Linked DNA regions of Anolis sagrei. The protein of the gene in region 1 purifies or fractionates together with the protein of each later gene. This does not show direct contact. Links are inferred from orthologs where the notes say so. Each region holds a gene or a part of one and is shown on either strand. Other genes may lie near its edges. The genes, in order: RETREG3 and REEP4.

The links.
Region 2: the proteins of RETREG3 (region 1) and REEP4 purify together in Homo sapiens (affinity purification with mass spectrometry; 3 studies listed by BioGRID and IntAct, with this or other methods). This does not show direct contact. The link is inferred for Anolis sagrei from reciprocal best matches to the Homo sapiens genes RETREG3 and REEP4.

Annotation. Positions count from the first base shown.
Region 1 is NC_090026.1:51,026,926-51,034,768, forward strand, and holds the start of RETREG3 (reticulophagy regulator 3), read left to right. Parts: upstream 1-4,073; 5' UTR 4,074-4,088; coding exon 4,089-4,486; intron 4,487-7,843. Other genes in the region: TUBG1 (tubulin gamma-1 chain), read right to left, coding at 810-922, 3,819-3,867. UniProt on the Homo sapiens protein: Endoplasmic reticulum (ER)-anchored autophagy regulator which exists in an inactive state under basal conditions but is activated following cellular stress.
Region 2 is NC_090027.1:23,058,065-23,066,990, forward strand, and holds the start of REEP4 (receptor expression-enhancing protein 4), read left to right. Parts: upstream 1-5,585; 5' UTR 5,586-5,637; coding exon 5,638-6,009; intron 6,010-8,587; coding exon 8,588-8,664; intron 8,665-8,926. UniProt on the Homo sapiens protein: Microtubule-binding protein required to ensure proper cell division and nuclear envelope reassembly by sequestering the endoplasmic reticulum away from chromosomes during mitosis.

The DNA.
Region 1 (7,843 bases):
AAGTTTTATTTGAGCCACATCCATGTTTTTTCCTTATCAATTTTGCTCTCAATTTTTCCCAAGAACTGTCCAGAGGTTGTGAGGTCTGTTGGAATCTAGGAAAATTGGATTTATATATCTGTGAAAAGTCCAGGGTGGGAGAAAGAACTCTTGTCTGATGGAGGTAGGTATGAATGTTTCAATTCACCACCTTGATTAGCATTTGATGGCCTGACAGTTTTTATGCGTGCCTTTTTCCTGCCTGGGGGAATCTTTTGTTAAGAAGTGATTAGGTGTTCCTGATTGTTTCTTGTCTGGAGTTCCCCTGTGTTTGAGTTTTGTTCTTTATTTACTGTTATAATATTTTTAATACTGGTAGCCAGATTTGTTCATTTTCATGGTTTCTTCCTTTCTGCTGAAATTGTCCACATGCATATGGATTTCAATGGCTTCTCTGTGTAGCCTGACATGGTAGTTGTCCATGTCCAGCATTTTTGTGTTCTCAATAAAGTTTTTTAAAATTATTATTATTCCCAGGATTCCATAGCATTGAGCCATGGCAGTTAAAGTGGCACCAAGCTGCATTAATTCCACAGTGTAAATGCACCCCAGATCTCAAAACTTTTAAAATGAAGAAGACAGAATTACTCGATTATTTTCACAAAAGGACAAGTGATACAGCTTTTAAGAAATCATCACTTAAGAGCAAACCCAAACAGGGAAGTAAATAAAGTGCACAACTGAATGAGAAGAATGAGTGTGCTCACAAGCCACAGGCATTGAGTATTCTGCATCCTCAGAAGAAAACTGCCCAGAGAAAACTATCTTACCTGATAGAAAAACACATCTTTGCGATCAGTACCCTCTGTGGCAAATTCCTCCACAATGCCCTCAGGACTGATGCCATGCTCTGCACAAAGCTGCTTCCAGAATTCAAACCCAACTGCAAGAGGGAAAGGGAGAAGACAATTTGATGTAATGCAAAATGAGAGAAAGAACTATGAAAAAAAATCACATAAATACTAACCATCTAATAATGTAAAGGAAAACTGTAGAATTTTCTTCGTGGATAACAATAACAATAATAAATAATTTAATAAAAGATTTAATGTGAAACAATCGGTGATGAAAAGTTACGATCTATTTTCACCGGAGAACTGGAAATGAATATAGGAAGACCAGGAGACAAAGGCCCCTTCCACACAGCGGAATAAAATCTGCTTTGAACTGTGTTATCTGAGGCCCCTTCCACACAGCCATATAACCCAGAATATCAAGGCAGATAATCCACAGTATCTGCTTTGAACTGCATTATCTGAGTCCACACTGCCATATATTTATGTATTTATTTGCGACAGTTATATGCTGCCCTTCTCACACCGATCAACTTGTATGCAGAACACATCATGCGATGTGCAGAGCTTGATGAATGCAAGGCTGGGGTGAAAATTGCTGGAAGAAACATTAACAACCTCAGATATGCAGATGACACCTCTTTGATGGCCAAAAGCGAGGAGGAGCTGAGGAGCCTTCTAATCAAGGTGAAAGAAGAAAGCGCAAAAGTTGGGTTGCAGCAAAACATCAAAAAACCAAGATTATGGCAACAAGAATGATTGACAACTGGGAAATAGAGGGAGAAACTGTGGAGACTTTGTATTTCTAGGTGCAAAGATTACTGCAGATGCAGACTGCAGTCAGGAAATCAGGAGACGCTTACTTCTTGGGAGGAGAGCAATGGCCAATCTCGATAAAATGGTGAAGAGTAGAGACATCACACTTGCAACCAAGATCCGCATAGTTAAAGCAATGGTATTCCCCGTAGTCACTTATGGATGTGAGAACTGAACCATAAGGAAGGCTGAGCAAAGAAAGATGCTTTTGAACTGTGGTGTTGGAGGAAAGATCAAAGAGTGCCTTGGACCGCCAGAAGATCCAAACAGTCCATACTTCAGAAAATAAAGCCTGACTGCTCATTGGAGGGAAGGATAGTCGAGACCAAGATGAAGTACTTTGGCCACATCATGAGAAGAAAGGAAAGTTTAGAGAGTAATAATAATAATAATAATAATAATAATAATAATAAATTATTATTAAGCTTGTAATTGAATTTCTTTTTTTCTTCCATTTTTTTTGCTATTAACAATTTAGCTGCTGTTATCAAATTAGAGAGCAATTCTTTCTCCTCTTGTAAGGGAATTATATTATCATGTATAAGTAATAATGCTAATTTTGGTGTAATCCCAATCCCTATTTTTATTATTGCTCTTATTTCTTTGAATATGCTTTATAAGCATTATTATTAATGCTTATAAAGTATATTGAATATGCTTAATAAGCATTATTATTAAGCATATTATTAGCATTATTATTAAGCATATTATTGAATACGCTTAATAAGCATTATGATTAAGCTTAGAGAATACAATGATGCTGGGGAAAATAGAAGGAAAAAGGAAGAGGGGCCAACCAAGGGCAAGATGGATGGATGGCATCCTTAAGTGACTGGATTGATCTTGAAGGAACTGGGGGTGGTGACGGCCGACAGGGAGCTCTGGTGTGGGCTGGTCCATGAGGTCATGAAGTGTCGGAAACGACTGAACGAATGAACAACTCACTCCGGAAGGGACTCAGAGCGGTTTACAAGATATATATATACATACAATATATATTCCTAGTATAGCACAGTTTCAGTATTATATATTACTATATTGTACTATGCCATTGTACTGTAATATTATTAGTAATATTACATATAACATAAAATATATAATTATATATAATTATATAGATGTTCAACATCTTTATTAATGACTTAGATGAAGGGTTAGAAGGCAGGATCATCAAGTTTGCAGACGACACCAAATTGGGAGGGATAGCCAATACTCCAGAGGACAGGAGCAGGATTCAAAACGATCTTGACAGATTACAGAGATGGGCCAAAACTAACAAAATGAAGTTCAACAGTGACAAATGCAAGATACTCCACTTAGGCAGAAAAAACGAAATGCAAAGATACAAAATGGGGGACGATGCCTGGCTTGAAAGAAGTTCGTGTGAAAAAGATCTTGTGAGTCCTCGTGGACAACAAGTTAAACATGAGCCAACAATGTGATGTGGCGGCAAAAAAGGCCAATGGGATTTTGGCCTGCATCAATAGGAATAATAATAATAACAACAACAACAACAATCCTTTATTTATATCCCACCACCATCTCCCCAAGTGGAACTCTCTGCCCCCGAGTGTGGTGGAGGCTCCTTCTTTGGAAGTTTTTAAACAGAGGCTGGATGGCCATCTGCCAGGGGTGCTTTGAATGCAATATTCCTGTTTCTTGGCAGAATGGGGTTGGACTGGATGGCCCATGAGGTCTCTTCCAACTCTTTGATTCTATGATTATTATGATATTGTATTACATTATAATATTATAAACATATTTGTTGTTCATTCGTTCAGTCGTCCCCGACTCTTCGTGTTTTATATATATATATATATATATATATATAATTATTATTATTAGCAAAACAGGAAACAAGATGGAACTGTCTTCCTGGGGCCCCCTCTTTTTATATATATGTGTGTGTATGTGTGTGTGTATATATTCCAGCTCAAAGAGGAAAACGTGGGGATGTATACAGCTGTGTGGAAGGGGCTTTAGGTTGTCTGGCAGTGTGGACTCATATAATCCAGAAAACCTGGGATCCGGTCCTGGGATATGGGGCCTGTCTGGAAAGGCCCTAAGACCCTTTGCCCAAAGCCTAGGCCCAGCCCCATTCGTTTCCACTGAGGAAGAAAGACCCACAGGCCCCTCTGATTGCCCTCACCGCCCTCTTTGGAGCCTTACTTTGGTTGCCACACTGGCCCAGCTGCAGCGTGATGATCTCCCTCGGCATGGCGGCTCCTTCTCCGCCCGCTTCCCGCCTAGAAATAAAACGCCGCCGTTAGCCGCGCGCTTTCTGTGTTTTCTCCCTCTTGCTAGCCGCTCTCTCTCCCTGGCAACGCGCATGCGCGGCAGAAAACATTTCCCCCTCAATTCATTGGATGAAAGACGCGAGCGCAAGTCTCCTGCCGTACGCCAAGATGGCGCGCAAGCAACATAGTAGAGGGGGCGGCCATGACAGTGTTGTGCGCACGCGCGCACCGGCTTCTTGTGTTGAGACAGAGCCTGCCCCCCCTCCTCTCTCTCTCGGCCGTTGGTGACGGGGAAACGAAATGTTCCTGCCGCCAGTTCCACCGGTCTCCCGGTGACGCTGGGCTTTTTGTGAGGGGAAGAAGAAGAATGGAAGCGGCGGGGGAAGAAGGGAGCAGCAATGGCGGCGGTAGTGGTTCCCTCAGAGGCGTCCAGGCCCCGGCGGCGGAGCAGCGGGAGCAACGAGTGCGCGCCCTGAGCTCCTCTCTGAGGGGCCGCCTCGGGCCTTACGAGCCGGCGTTGAGCAGCCTGCAGGCCACGCTCGTGTGGGAAAGGCCGGCCAGGAGCGCCTTGGCATGGGCAGGAGCCCACGCGGCCTTCGGGTGAGAGGCCTGGGCGAGGCGGGGGCGCTGTCTAGGCCAGGCATGGGCAAACTTCGGCCCTCCAGGTGTTTTGGACTTCAACTCCCACAATTCCTAACAGCCGATAGGCTGTTAGGAATTGTGGGAGTTGAAGTCCAAAACACCTGGAGGGCCGAGGTTTGCCCATGCCTGGTGTAGGGTCTCCACCTGCTATCCCTTCCTTTTATATTGTCCTCTGAGGTGTTCAGGTGGAGCATCCCTTGTCTGAAATCCTCCCAAGTGGGTGTCTTGTTGACAGCTTTGCTTTTTGGGTAGTCTCAACAGACACAAATGTTTTGTTTCATCCCTAATAATATAATTTCTATGAAACTAGCTGTCCCCTGCCACGCGTTGCTGTGGCCCAGTCTGTTGATCTGGAAAACAAAGAAATTAGAAAGTGTTGGTTTCTAATATATGTAATTCCTTTATGCTTGTGGCTAAACAGTATTTCTTGCTGCTTCTATGTCAGTGTTGATGTGGAGGTTGTCTGGTTTGCCTACTCTGGAACATGCAACATATCATTGTCCTTCTTTAGGGGGTCCTTTTCAAATCTATGATACTATGTCTTTGTGTGTGTGAATCATATCTATCTATCCATCCATCCATCTATCTATCTCTATGGCAGGATGGCTCTTTGTCAGGAGGACTTTGATTACGTTTTCTTGCCCTGATGAAGGGAGTTGGATTGGATGGCCTTAAGTATTTTCTGTTGGTCATGGGGGTTCTGTGTGAAAAGTTTGCCCCAGACTCAAGGTCAATGCCCACCAAACCCTTCCAATATTTTCTGTTGGTCATGGGAGTTCTGTGTGCCAAGTTTGGTTCAATTCCATTGTTGATGGAGTTCAGAGTTTGATTGTAGGTGAACTATAAATCCCAGCAACTACAACTCCCAAATGACAAAATCATAATTTTTTGAGTGATGGTCACTCCTTGTGTTGTGAAACGTTTTGTTGACAAATTTGGTGTGATTTCATTCATTGGTTCTTTTGTTTTTAAGGTACTAATTATGCACAGAGCATTTATATATATAGATAGATTACTTTAAGGCTATGTGCGTAAAAAGTGTCTAATATGAACCATAAATGTATCTTGGATTTTGACTCGGGAAACCCATTTCCAAGATATTTCTTTATGTGCATTTAGGTAAATGCAGGTTATGAACAATATGGGTTCTGTGGCTTTGTTCCTAAGTTATTTTTATTAATAATTATAATAAGTTGTTTATTTGACTAGTCATATGACCATTACAAAATTGTTGTTCATTCGTTCAGTCGTTTCCGACTCTTCATGACCTCATGGACCAGCCCACGCCAGAGCTCCCTGTCGATCGTCACCACCCCCAGCTCCTTCAAGGTCAATCCAGTCACTTCAAGGATGCCATCCATCCATCTTGCCCTTGGTCAGTCCCTCTTCCTTTTTCCTTCCATTTTCCCCAGCATCATTGTCTTCTCTAAGCTTTCCTTTCTTCTCATATTTCATCTTGGCCTGTCTTCTCATAATATGGCCAAAGTACTTCATCTTGGCCTCTAGTATCCTTCCCTCCAATGAGCAGTCAGGCTTTATTTCCTGAAGTATGGACTGGTTGGATCTTCTCACAGTCCAAGGCACTCTCAGAACCTTCCTCCAGCACCACAGTCCAAAAGCATCTATCTTCCTTCACTCAGCCTTCCCTATGGTCCAGCTCTCACATCCGTAGGTGACTACGGGGAATAGCATTGCTTTGATTATGTGGATCTTTGTTGCCAGTGTGATGTCTCTACTCTTCACTATTTTATCAAGATTGGTCATTGCTTTCCTCCCAAGAAGTAAGCGTCTCCTGATTTCCTGACTGCAGTCTGCGTCTGCAGTAATCTTTGCACTTAAAAATACGAAGTCTGTCACTGCCTCCACGTTTTCTCCCTCTATTTCCCAGTTGTCAATCATTCTTGTTGACATAATCTTTGTTTTTTTATGTTTAACTGCAACCCAGCTTTTGTGCTTTCTTCTTTCACCTTGATTAGAAGGCTCCTCAGCTCCTCCTCGCTTTCAGCCATCAAAGTTCCTAAGTTACTTTTGTAATAATTATAATAATAATTTGTTTATTTGACTAGTCATATGACCATTTCAAAATACAACACGAATAAAATACAAGGCAAAAAGGAAAAGACAGCAGCTGACCTTCTATTTACAGTCAGAATCTTATTTTCCTGGTTCTTCTTTCAGGAAATCTGCTCTTTTCTTGATAGCTTTCAGAATAAAAAGGCACATTCTGATTATGGTAGATCTTTCTTGTCCTTGCAATAAGAATGTCAGAAAATCATTTCTGCTCGGGGACCTGTAGTTGGATAATATTGGATGTAAATATGTGTTTTGCAGTTCAGCATATGCTGGACAGTCAGTTAAGAAATCTTCAATATCTTCCACTGTTTTTTCTCCCCATACGCAGAATCTCTTTCAAGTTACTTTTGTATGTAACCCAACTCTAAATCAGTGCTTGTCGTCAGTAAGGGACTGGATGAGGGCAAGCAAATTGAAACTAAATCCAGACAAGACAGAGATACTCCTGGTCAGTCGGAAAGCATACCAGGGAATAGGGATCCAGCCTTTGCTGGATCCCTATTGCACACTGTGCTGGATCCCTATTGCAACAAGATATGGATCTATAGTTTGGGGGTCCTCCTCGACTTGGCACTGAACCTGGAGGCCCAGGTGTCCGTTGTAATTAGGAGGGCCTTTGCACAATTAAACTTGTGCACCAACTGTGCCCATTCCTTGAGAAGCCAGATCTGGCCATGGTGGTCCATGCCTTAGTTACATCCCATCTAGATTTCTGTAACATGCTCTGCATAGGGCTACCTCCGAAGAGCGCTTGGAAACTTCAGCTGGTCCAAAGAGCTGCAGCCAGGTTGTTCAATGGTTACAGGGAACAGACACTCCCCTGTTGAAGCAGCTCCACTGGCTGCCAGTCTGTTTCCAGGCACAATTCAAAGTGCTGGTTATGACCTTTAAAGCCCTAGACCAGTAGTTCTCAGTATGTGGATCCCAGATGTTTTGGCCTTCGACTCCCAGAAATCCCAACAGCTGGTAATCTGGCTGGGATTTCTGGGAGTTGTTGGCCAAAACACCTGGGGACCCACAAGTTGAGAACAATTGCTCTATATGGTTCAGATCCAGGCTGTTTGGCCGACCACATCCCCTTGTACAAAACTGCCTGGGCTCTGAGATCTTCAGGAGAGGCCTATCTCTTGGTCCCACCTCCATCTCAGTTTGTTGGAGGGAATGGGAGAGAGGGCATTCTTGGTGGCTAACCCTCAACTCTGGAACCCCTGCCCAGAGAGAAGCCACAATGCCCCCCCCCCT
Region 2 (8,926 bases), on another chromosome or scaffold:
GTAGTCTAATCTGTTTTTTCTACTTAATTTATCTACTTAATCTATCTATTTAATCTCTCTCTATTTAATATCTCTCTCTATTTAATCTATCTCTCTATTTATCTATCTAATATAACTATCTATTTAATTTGTCTATTAATTTAATCTAATCTATTTTTCCATTTAATTTATCTATCAATGTATCTATCTACTCTATCTATTTTTGTCTTTCAATTTAATCTATCTAATCTATCTATTTAATCTATCTATTCTAATCAATTTTTCTTATCTATCTATCTATCTATCTGTATCTATCTATCTATCTGTATCTATCTGTATCTATCTCTATCTATCTATCTATCTATCTATCTATCTATCTATCTATCTATCTATCTATCTATCTATCTATCTATCTATCTATCTATCTATCTATCTATCTATCTATCTATCTATCTATCTATCTATCTATCTATCTATCTATCTATCCACTCAAAGGTCAACTTTCAACTTTCTCCCTGCAGTTTACTGGCTTCCCCCATTGGTGCATTCGAAGGCGGGGGCGTGGCCGCCAGCAGCCAATGGGCGCACGCGGAGGAGGGTGTCCGAGGATTCCGCGCATGCGCAGTGACCTTGGCGTCTCTGTTGTCCGGCGGTTGCAAAGGAGCCGAAAGGAAAGGAAGGAAGGAAGGAAGGAAGGAAGGAGGGAGGCGACCATGGTTTCGTGGCTTCTCTGCCGTGCCGTCGTGTGAGTCCGGGGGGGGCTGTTCGGATGCCCTCGAGGGCCCTTCCTTTCCATCCCTGACGTTTGACGGCATGGCCATCTGTCGGGGTGGCTCAGATGGTGCTTCACAGAAGGGGGCTGGACTGGATGACCTTTTGGGGTCCCTTCTACCTCCGGGCTTCTCCCCCATGGTTCCCCTTCTACTTCCGGGAAAGGAGTGACTATTTAGGAGCCATAAAGAGGGATCTGCCCTAGGCCCAATTATTATTATTATTATTATTATTATTATGTTTATTTATACCCCGCTTTATCTCTCCCAAAGGAGACCCAAAGTGGCAATGTATGTATGTATGTATGTATTATTATTATTATTTATACCCTGCTTTATCTCTCCCTAATGAGACTCAAAGTGGCTATGTATCTATTATTATTACTATTATTATTGTCCTGCATTATTTTTCCATAATGAGACTCAAAGCTGCTATGTATCTATTATTATTATTATTATTATTATTATTGTTTATTTATACCCCGCTTTATCTCTCCCAAAGGAGACCCAAAGTGGCTATGTATCTATTATTATTATTATTACTATTATTATTGACCCGCATTATCTCTCCCTAAGGAGACTCAAAGCCACTATGTATCTATTATTATTATTATGTTTATTATGTTTATTTATACCCTGCTTTATCTCTCCCAAAGGAGACCCAAAGTGGCTATGTATCTATTATTATTACTATTATTATTGTCCTGCATTATCTTTCCCTAATAAGACTCAGTCTCTATGTATCTATTATTATTATTATTATTATTATTATTACTATTATTATTGTCCCTCATTATCTCTCCCTAATGAGACTCAAAGCTTCCATGTATCTATTATTATTATTATTATTATTATTATTATTATTATCCTGCATTATCTTTCCCTAATGAGACTCAAACTGCTATGTATCTGTTACTATTATTAATGTCCTGCATTATCTCTCCCTAATGAGACTCAAAGTCACTATGTATCTATTATTATTATTATTGTTGTTGTTGTTGTTATTGTTATTATGTTTATTTATACCCTGCTTTATCTCTCCCAAAGGAGACCCAAAGTGGCTATGTATCTATTATTATTACTATTATTATTAACCCGCATTATCTCTCCCTAATGAGACTCAAAGCCGCTATATATCTATTATTATTATTATTATTATTTATACCCCGCTGTATCTCTCCCGAAGGAGACCCAAAGTGGCTATGTATCTATTGTTATTACTATTATTATTGACCCACATTATCTCTCCCTAATGAGACTCAAAGCTTCCATGTATCTATTATTATTATTATTATTATTATTATTATCCTGCATTATCTTTCCCTAATGAGACTCAAACTGCTATGTATCTGTTACTATTATTATTGTCCTGCATTATCTCTCCCTAATGAGACTCAAAGTCACTATGTATCTATTATTATTATTGTTGTTGTTGTTGTTATTATGTTTATTTATACCCTGCTTTATCTCTCCCAAAGGAGACCCAAAGTGGCTATGTATCTATTATTATTACTATTATTATTGACCCGCATTATCTCTCCCTAAGGAGACTCAAAGTCTCTATGTATCTATTATTATTATTATTATTATTATTATTATTATTATTATTATGTTTATTTATACCCTGCTTTATCTCTCCCGAAGGAGACCCAAAGCGGCTATGTATCTATTATTATTATTAACCTGCATTATCTCTCCCTAATGAAACTCAAAGCCACTCTGTATCTATTATTATTATTATTATTACTATTATTATTAATACCCTACTTTATCTCTCCCGAAGGAGACTCAAAGCGGCTGACGCACAATTTGAAACATGCAAATATGCAAACATTAAACCAGAATTAAACATAACAGCGCTTTAAAATTCACAGTTTACATCCATTAAGACATATTCAAAGCTAAAAATCCTGTTCAACATCTTTATTAATGACTTGGATGAAGGTTTAGAGCAGACATGGGCCTGCTTGGGCCCTCCAGGTGTTTTGGACTCCAACTCCCCCCATTCCTAGCAGCCTACTGGCTGTTAGGAATGGTGGGAGTTGACGTCCAAAACACTGGAGGGCCCAAGTTGGCCCCTGCCTGCCTTAGCGGGAATGCTTTTTTTCAAGTTTGCAGATGGGAAGCTCCTTCCTTGGAGGCTTTTAAATAGAGGCTGGATGGCCATCTGTTAGGAATTCTTTGAGTGTGCTTTTCCTGCATGGCAGGAAGGTGTGGGACTGGATGGTCCATGTAGTCTCATCTAATTATGGTTCTATAGGAGTCTAATTAGATTGTGATTCTATGATGAGACGTCGCGAATGATTTAGTGTAATTGTATTATTGATAGTGATGTTGTTATTGTTGTTTGTGATATTGCCTTTATTGTAAATTGTTTTTATATGTTGTACACCGCCGTGAGTCGCCCTAGGGCTGAGAACGGCGGTCTACAAGCGCAGTAAATAAATAAATAAATAAATAATTGAGTCTCCTTCTCTGGAGGTTTTAAAGCAGAGGCTGGGTGGCCATCTGTCAGTAGGGATTGGATATAATCTCACTTTACGGTTGAAAGGGGCTGGACTGGGTGGCCCCTTCCCACCTCTAGGATGCTATGATTCAAGGAGGGGAGTGAATGCTGGGAGGGAGAATAGAAGTGCAGGACATAGAGTTGGAAAGGATTATCCAAAGGCCATCCAGCCCAGCCTCCTTCTGCCAGGCAGGAAAACTCGAGCCAAACCCTCCTGACAGATAGCCATCCAGACTCTATGTTGTTGAAGTCTTTCATGGCCGGAATCAGGAGCTCCCAGTGGCGCAGTGGGTTAAACCCCTGCGCCAGCAGGACTGAAGATTGACAGGTCGCAGGTTCCAATCCGGGGAGAGCAAGGATGAGCTCCCTCTGTCAGCTCCAGCTCCTCATGCGGGGACATGAGAGAAGCCTCCCACAAGGGTGGTAAAAACATAAAAAAAACATCTGGGGGTCCCCTGGGCAACAGCCTTGCAGACGGCCACTTCTCTCACACCAAAAGCGATTTGCAGTTTGTCAAGTAGCTCCTGACAAGACCAAAAAAAAAAGAGGTTGTGAGGGCTGTTGGAAACTAGGCAGATGAATGTATTGTCGAAGGCTTTCATGGCCGGAATCACTGGGTTGTTGTAGGTTTTTTTGGGCTATGTGGCCATGTTCTAGAGGCATTTCTCCTGACATTTTGCCTGCATCTATGGCAAGCATCCTCAGAGGTAGTGAGGTCTGTTGGAACTAGGAAAAGGGGTTTATATATCTGTGGAATGACCAGGGTGGGACAAAGGACTCTTGTCTGCTGGAGCTAGGTGTGAATGTTTCAACTGATCGCCTTGATTAGCATTTAATGGCCTGGCAGTGCCTGTAGCAATCTTTTGTTGAGAGGTGATTAGATGTGCTTGTTTGTTTCCTCTCTGTTGTTGTGCATGTGGACAATTTCATTTTCGTGGTTTCCAAGGAGGAAACCACGAAAATGAACAAAATCTGGCTACCAGTATTAAAAAACTCTAAAATTAGAACAGCATATAACATACATAAATCCTCCGCATGACCATACAGCCTGGAAAACTCATAGCAACCCAGTGATTTCGGCCATGAAAGCCTTGACTACACATGCCTGCCACTTCAGGAGGAGAAGGAGGAAATCTTGCTGCTTCTCTCCCCCCCCCCCCCCGCCCTCAAGCCAACTAAGAGGAGGAAGGGGAGTGAGGAAGAGAGTTTAAAAACACCTGTCTCCTGGCTGTTGCTTACTACATCTGCCTGCCACCTCAGGAGGAGAAGGAGGAAATCCTGCTGCTTCTCCCCCCCCCCCACCCTCAAGCCAGCTAAGAGGAGGAAGGGGACTGAGGAAGAGACTTTAAAAACACCTGTCTCCTTCTGTTGCTTACTACATCTGCCTGCCACCTCAGGAGGAGAAGGAAGAAATCCTGCTGCTTCTCGGCCCCCTCCCCCGCCCCATCCTCAAGCCAACTAAGAGGAGGAAGGGGACTGAGGAGGAGACTTTAAAAACACCTGTCTCCTGGCTGTTGCTTACTACATCTGCCTGCCACCTCAGAAGGAGAAGGAGGAAATCCTGCTTCTTCTCTCCCCCCCCCTTCGCCCTCAAGCCAGCTAAGATGAGGAAGGGGACTGAGGAAGAGACTTTAAAAACACCTTTCTCCTGGCTGTTGCTTACTACATCTGCCTGCCACCTCAGGAGGAGAAGGAGGAAATCCTGCTTCTTCTCCCCCCGCCCTCAAACCAAATAAAAGGAGGAAGGGGACTGAGGAAGAGACTTTAAAAACACCTTTCTCCTGGCTGTTGCTTACTACATCTGCCTGCCACCTCAGGAGGAGAAGGAGGAAATCCTGCTTCTTCTCCCCCCGCCCTCAAACCAAATAAAAGGAGGAAGGGGACTGAGGAAGAGACTTTAAAAACACCTTTCTCCTGGCTGTTGCTTACTACATCTGCCTGCCACCTCAGGAGGAGAAGGAGGAAATCCTGCTTCTTCTCCCCCCGCCCTCAAACCAAATAAAAGGAGGAAGGGGACTGAGGAAGAGACTTTAAAAACACCTGTCTCCTTGCTGTTGCTTATTATTTCTTTTCTGATTTTATATTGTATTTAATGTTTTTATGTTCATTTTGATATTATGTATATTACTTGTTGCCTGTAAACCGCCTTGAGTCGCTGGAGGGCTGAGAAAGATGGTATACAAATACAGTAAATAAATAAATAAAAATAAATACATTGTGACTAAATTGTGGGATCATTAGCCACTTTGAGTCCCAATTGGGGAGAAAGGCGGAGTATCAATAAAATTATTATTATTATTATTATTAATAATAATAATAATAATATTTTGGGGGAGAGTCTGGCAATGGTTGCTTTCGTTTGAGACCTGCGAGGGAGGAGGTATGGCCGAGGAGCCGGTTTGCCTAGTCTGGTCCTGCCCCAGTTGGGAAACCGGCCCTTCCTGTGTGGGAGGGAGAGGAGCATCCCAGAAGGGGTGTTTTGAGTGGCTCCTTCGAAGTCTTAACTCTGCAATACGCCTCTCCTTCGATCCTCATTTGGGGCAGGGGCTTCCTTTCTTTGGAGCCACCATGGAAGCCCTGAAGGCCAAGGCGGTGCGCCAGGCCAAGAAGTACGGTCTCTGGCTCCTAGCCGGACTGTACCGCTGCTGGCCGGCTTTCCTGACCCCACCGTTCCGTTACAGGCTGATCTTTGGGATGCTCTACCCGGCCTACGCCTCCTACAAGGCCGTGAAGACAAAGAACATCCGGGAATACGTGAGTTTTTTGCATGACAACAATGACGAAGGGACCACAGGATAATGCTTAGTTAGGGATGAGGTTGATTGAATGGGGTTTGATCTAATGGACTTGTGCATTTATGGTTGAAGAAGGGGATTGTTGGAAATCAACTCCACACTGGCCAAGTTTCAAGTCCTCAGTGAGAAACAGTTTAGTTAGCTTAGAATAGACTAAGGCAGTTTGTCTCAATGTGGGGGATGGGACCCCTGGGGGCAGGGGCGGCTCAACCCATTACGCAAAGTAAGCATTCACAGTATAGTTGATTTTGCCCAGGGGCGCTCTTGGGGGAAAATAGACCTTGACATATGCGAGTTGTAGTTACTGGGATGTATAGTTCACCTACAATCAGAGAGCATTCTGAACTCCACCGATGATGGAATTGAACCAAATGTGGCACACAGAACTCCCACGACGAACAGAAAATATATATTAGTGATTGGTTGGGGGCGGGGGGCGGCAAAATACTATTTGCTTACCGTTGAAAATTACCTCTTCCTGGGGGGGTCATGAGGGGGTGTCAGAGGGGTCGCCAAAGACCATCAGAAAACACAGTATTTTCTCTTGGTCATGAGGGTTCTGTGTGGGAAGTTTGGCTCAATTCTATCGTTGGGGTTCAAAATGCTTTGATTGTAGGTGAACTATAAATCCCAGTAACTATAACTCCCAAATGTCAAGGTCTATTTCTCTCAAACTCCATCTGTGTTCATATTTGGGTATATAGAATATTCGTGCCAAGTTTGCTCCAGATCCATCATTGTTTGAGCCCACAGTGTTCTCTGGATGTAGGTGAACTACAACTCCCAAACTCAAGGTCAATGCCCACCAACCCTTCTAGTGTTTTTGGTTGGTCATGGGAGTCCTCTGTACCGCGTTTGGATCAATTCCATGATTGGTAGAGTTCGGGATGCTCTTTGATTGTAGGTCATCGATAAATCCCAGCAACTACAACTCCCAAATTGCAAAATCAGTTCCCACTCCTTGGTTTAGTAGGTTTCTTGTGGCCAAATTTGACGGCAATTCGTCCAGTGGTTTTTGAGTTACGTTAATCCCACAAATGAACATTACATTTTTATTTATATAGATGATAGAGGCACATTTGTTTTGTTAAAATACTTCGAAAATATTTGGAGAGTTTGTATCTTAAAGCATATAAACAAGCCTCAACAGTTTAGTAGCTTCTAACATTAGCTTCTGCACACTAAAAGACATTCTATTAACAAGGCTCAAAGCTCAACTGACTTCTAACAGGCTCAAGACTCATCTGACTTCTCTAACTGAATTCCTTTTAACACGGAACATCCTAAACCATCACATGCTTGCACCCCTCCCACTGCTTCAGTACAAAAGACGAGGCAACTGCAGACTACAAACAAGAACCATAGAATCATAAGTTGGAAGAGACCTCGTGGGCCATCCAGTCCAACCCCCTGCTAAGAAGCAGGATAATCAAATTCAAAGCACCCCCAACAGATGGCCATCCAGCCTCTGCTTAAAAGCCTCCAAAGAAGGAGCCTTCACCACACTCCGGGGCAGAGAGTTCCACCGCTGAACAGCTCTCACAGTCAGGAAGTTCTTCCTAACATTCAGGTGGAATCTCCTTTCCTGTAGTTTGAAGGTTACAAAATGACATACTAATGAAATAGACAAACCTCACATAGAGGAGGCTTGAGAGGTTGCTTCCTCCAACACTTATTTCCACATCAAGCCACATTTTGGAAAAGCCAATTCTCACAGGGACAGAAAGCAAGGGGAAATCTTTGAACAGGGGCATGGACAGTAAAGGAAATGGTACACCTTCCCTATGCTCTCCAAACCTTATCTGTCTGTCTATCTGTCTTTGGCTGGAGTTAGACTTCAAAAATGTCCCTGTTCCGACTTACATACAAATGCAATTTAAGAACAAATCTAAAGAACCTCTCTTATGTGCTGTGTGCTTTGAGATTTCTCTCTGCTTGTGTGTCAGGAGAGATGTAGTGATTAATTTTTTCCCTCTCTGGAAACCTTAGAAGAGATGGGTGTTAGAGTAGCTCAGACCTAGTATCTTAGGGAACGGCCTTATTTATTTATTTACTTCATTTATATACTGCTTTTCTCAGCCCTTGGGCGACTCAAAGTGGTTAACAATAGCAAAATTCAATGCTCAACATCATAAAAACAGTAAAAAAATAAAACAATGACATAATAAACAATCAATAAAACATAACTATAACATCTCATAGGTAGAATCAAGATCCAATCTCATCATCCGTTGTTCCATATTCCTATATTCATTACACTGCCTATTCAAATGCCTGCTCGAATAACCAGGTCTTCACTTTCCTCCGAAATGTCAACAGGGAGGGGGCCAATCTAATATCTGTAGGAAGGACGTTCCACAGCCGAGGGGCCACCACTGAGAAGGCCCTGTCTCTCGTCCCCGCCAGACATACTTGTGATGCAGGCGGGACCAAGAACAGGGCCTCCCCAGATGATCTTAACATCCTAGCTTTGTGGCCAAGAAGGAGAGATGTTGCATTGGCAGGATTCCATTAACACTTCCCTGGTTTCCTGGCAGGTGCGCTGGATGATGTACTGGATCGTGTTTGCCCTCTTTATGGCCACCGAGACTGTTGCAGACACCTTCATTTCTTGGTAAGTCTTCCTTACCCGAATCTGAACCGCATTCCCCAAAATCCCCTTTCTTCCCTGGTCTCGAATGCATCGCAGTACTTGGGAATCATGCTCCAGTCTTTTGGCCCTGCCTCTCTCTTCCCAGGACAAAGTCTTGAGTCACATTTTGTTTGATTTAGTCATTAGTTTGCAACTGTCAGAGCCTTCAGCGCTTTCCTCTCTACATCAGTCTGTAGCACAGTGGTTCTCAACCTGTGGGTCCCCAGGTGTTTTGGTCTACAAG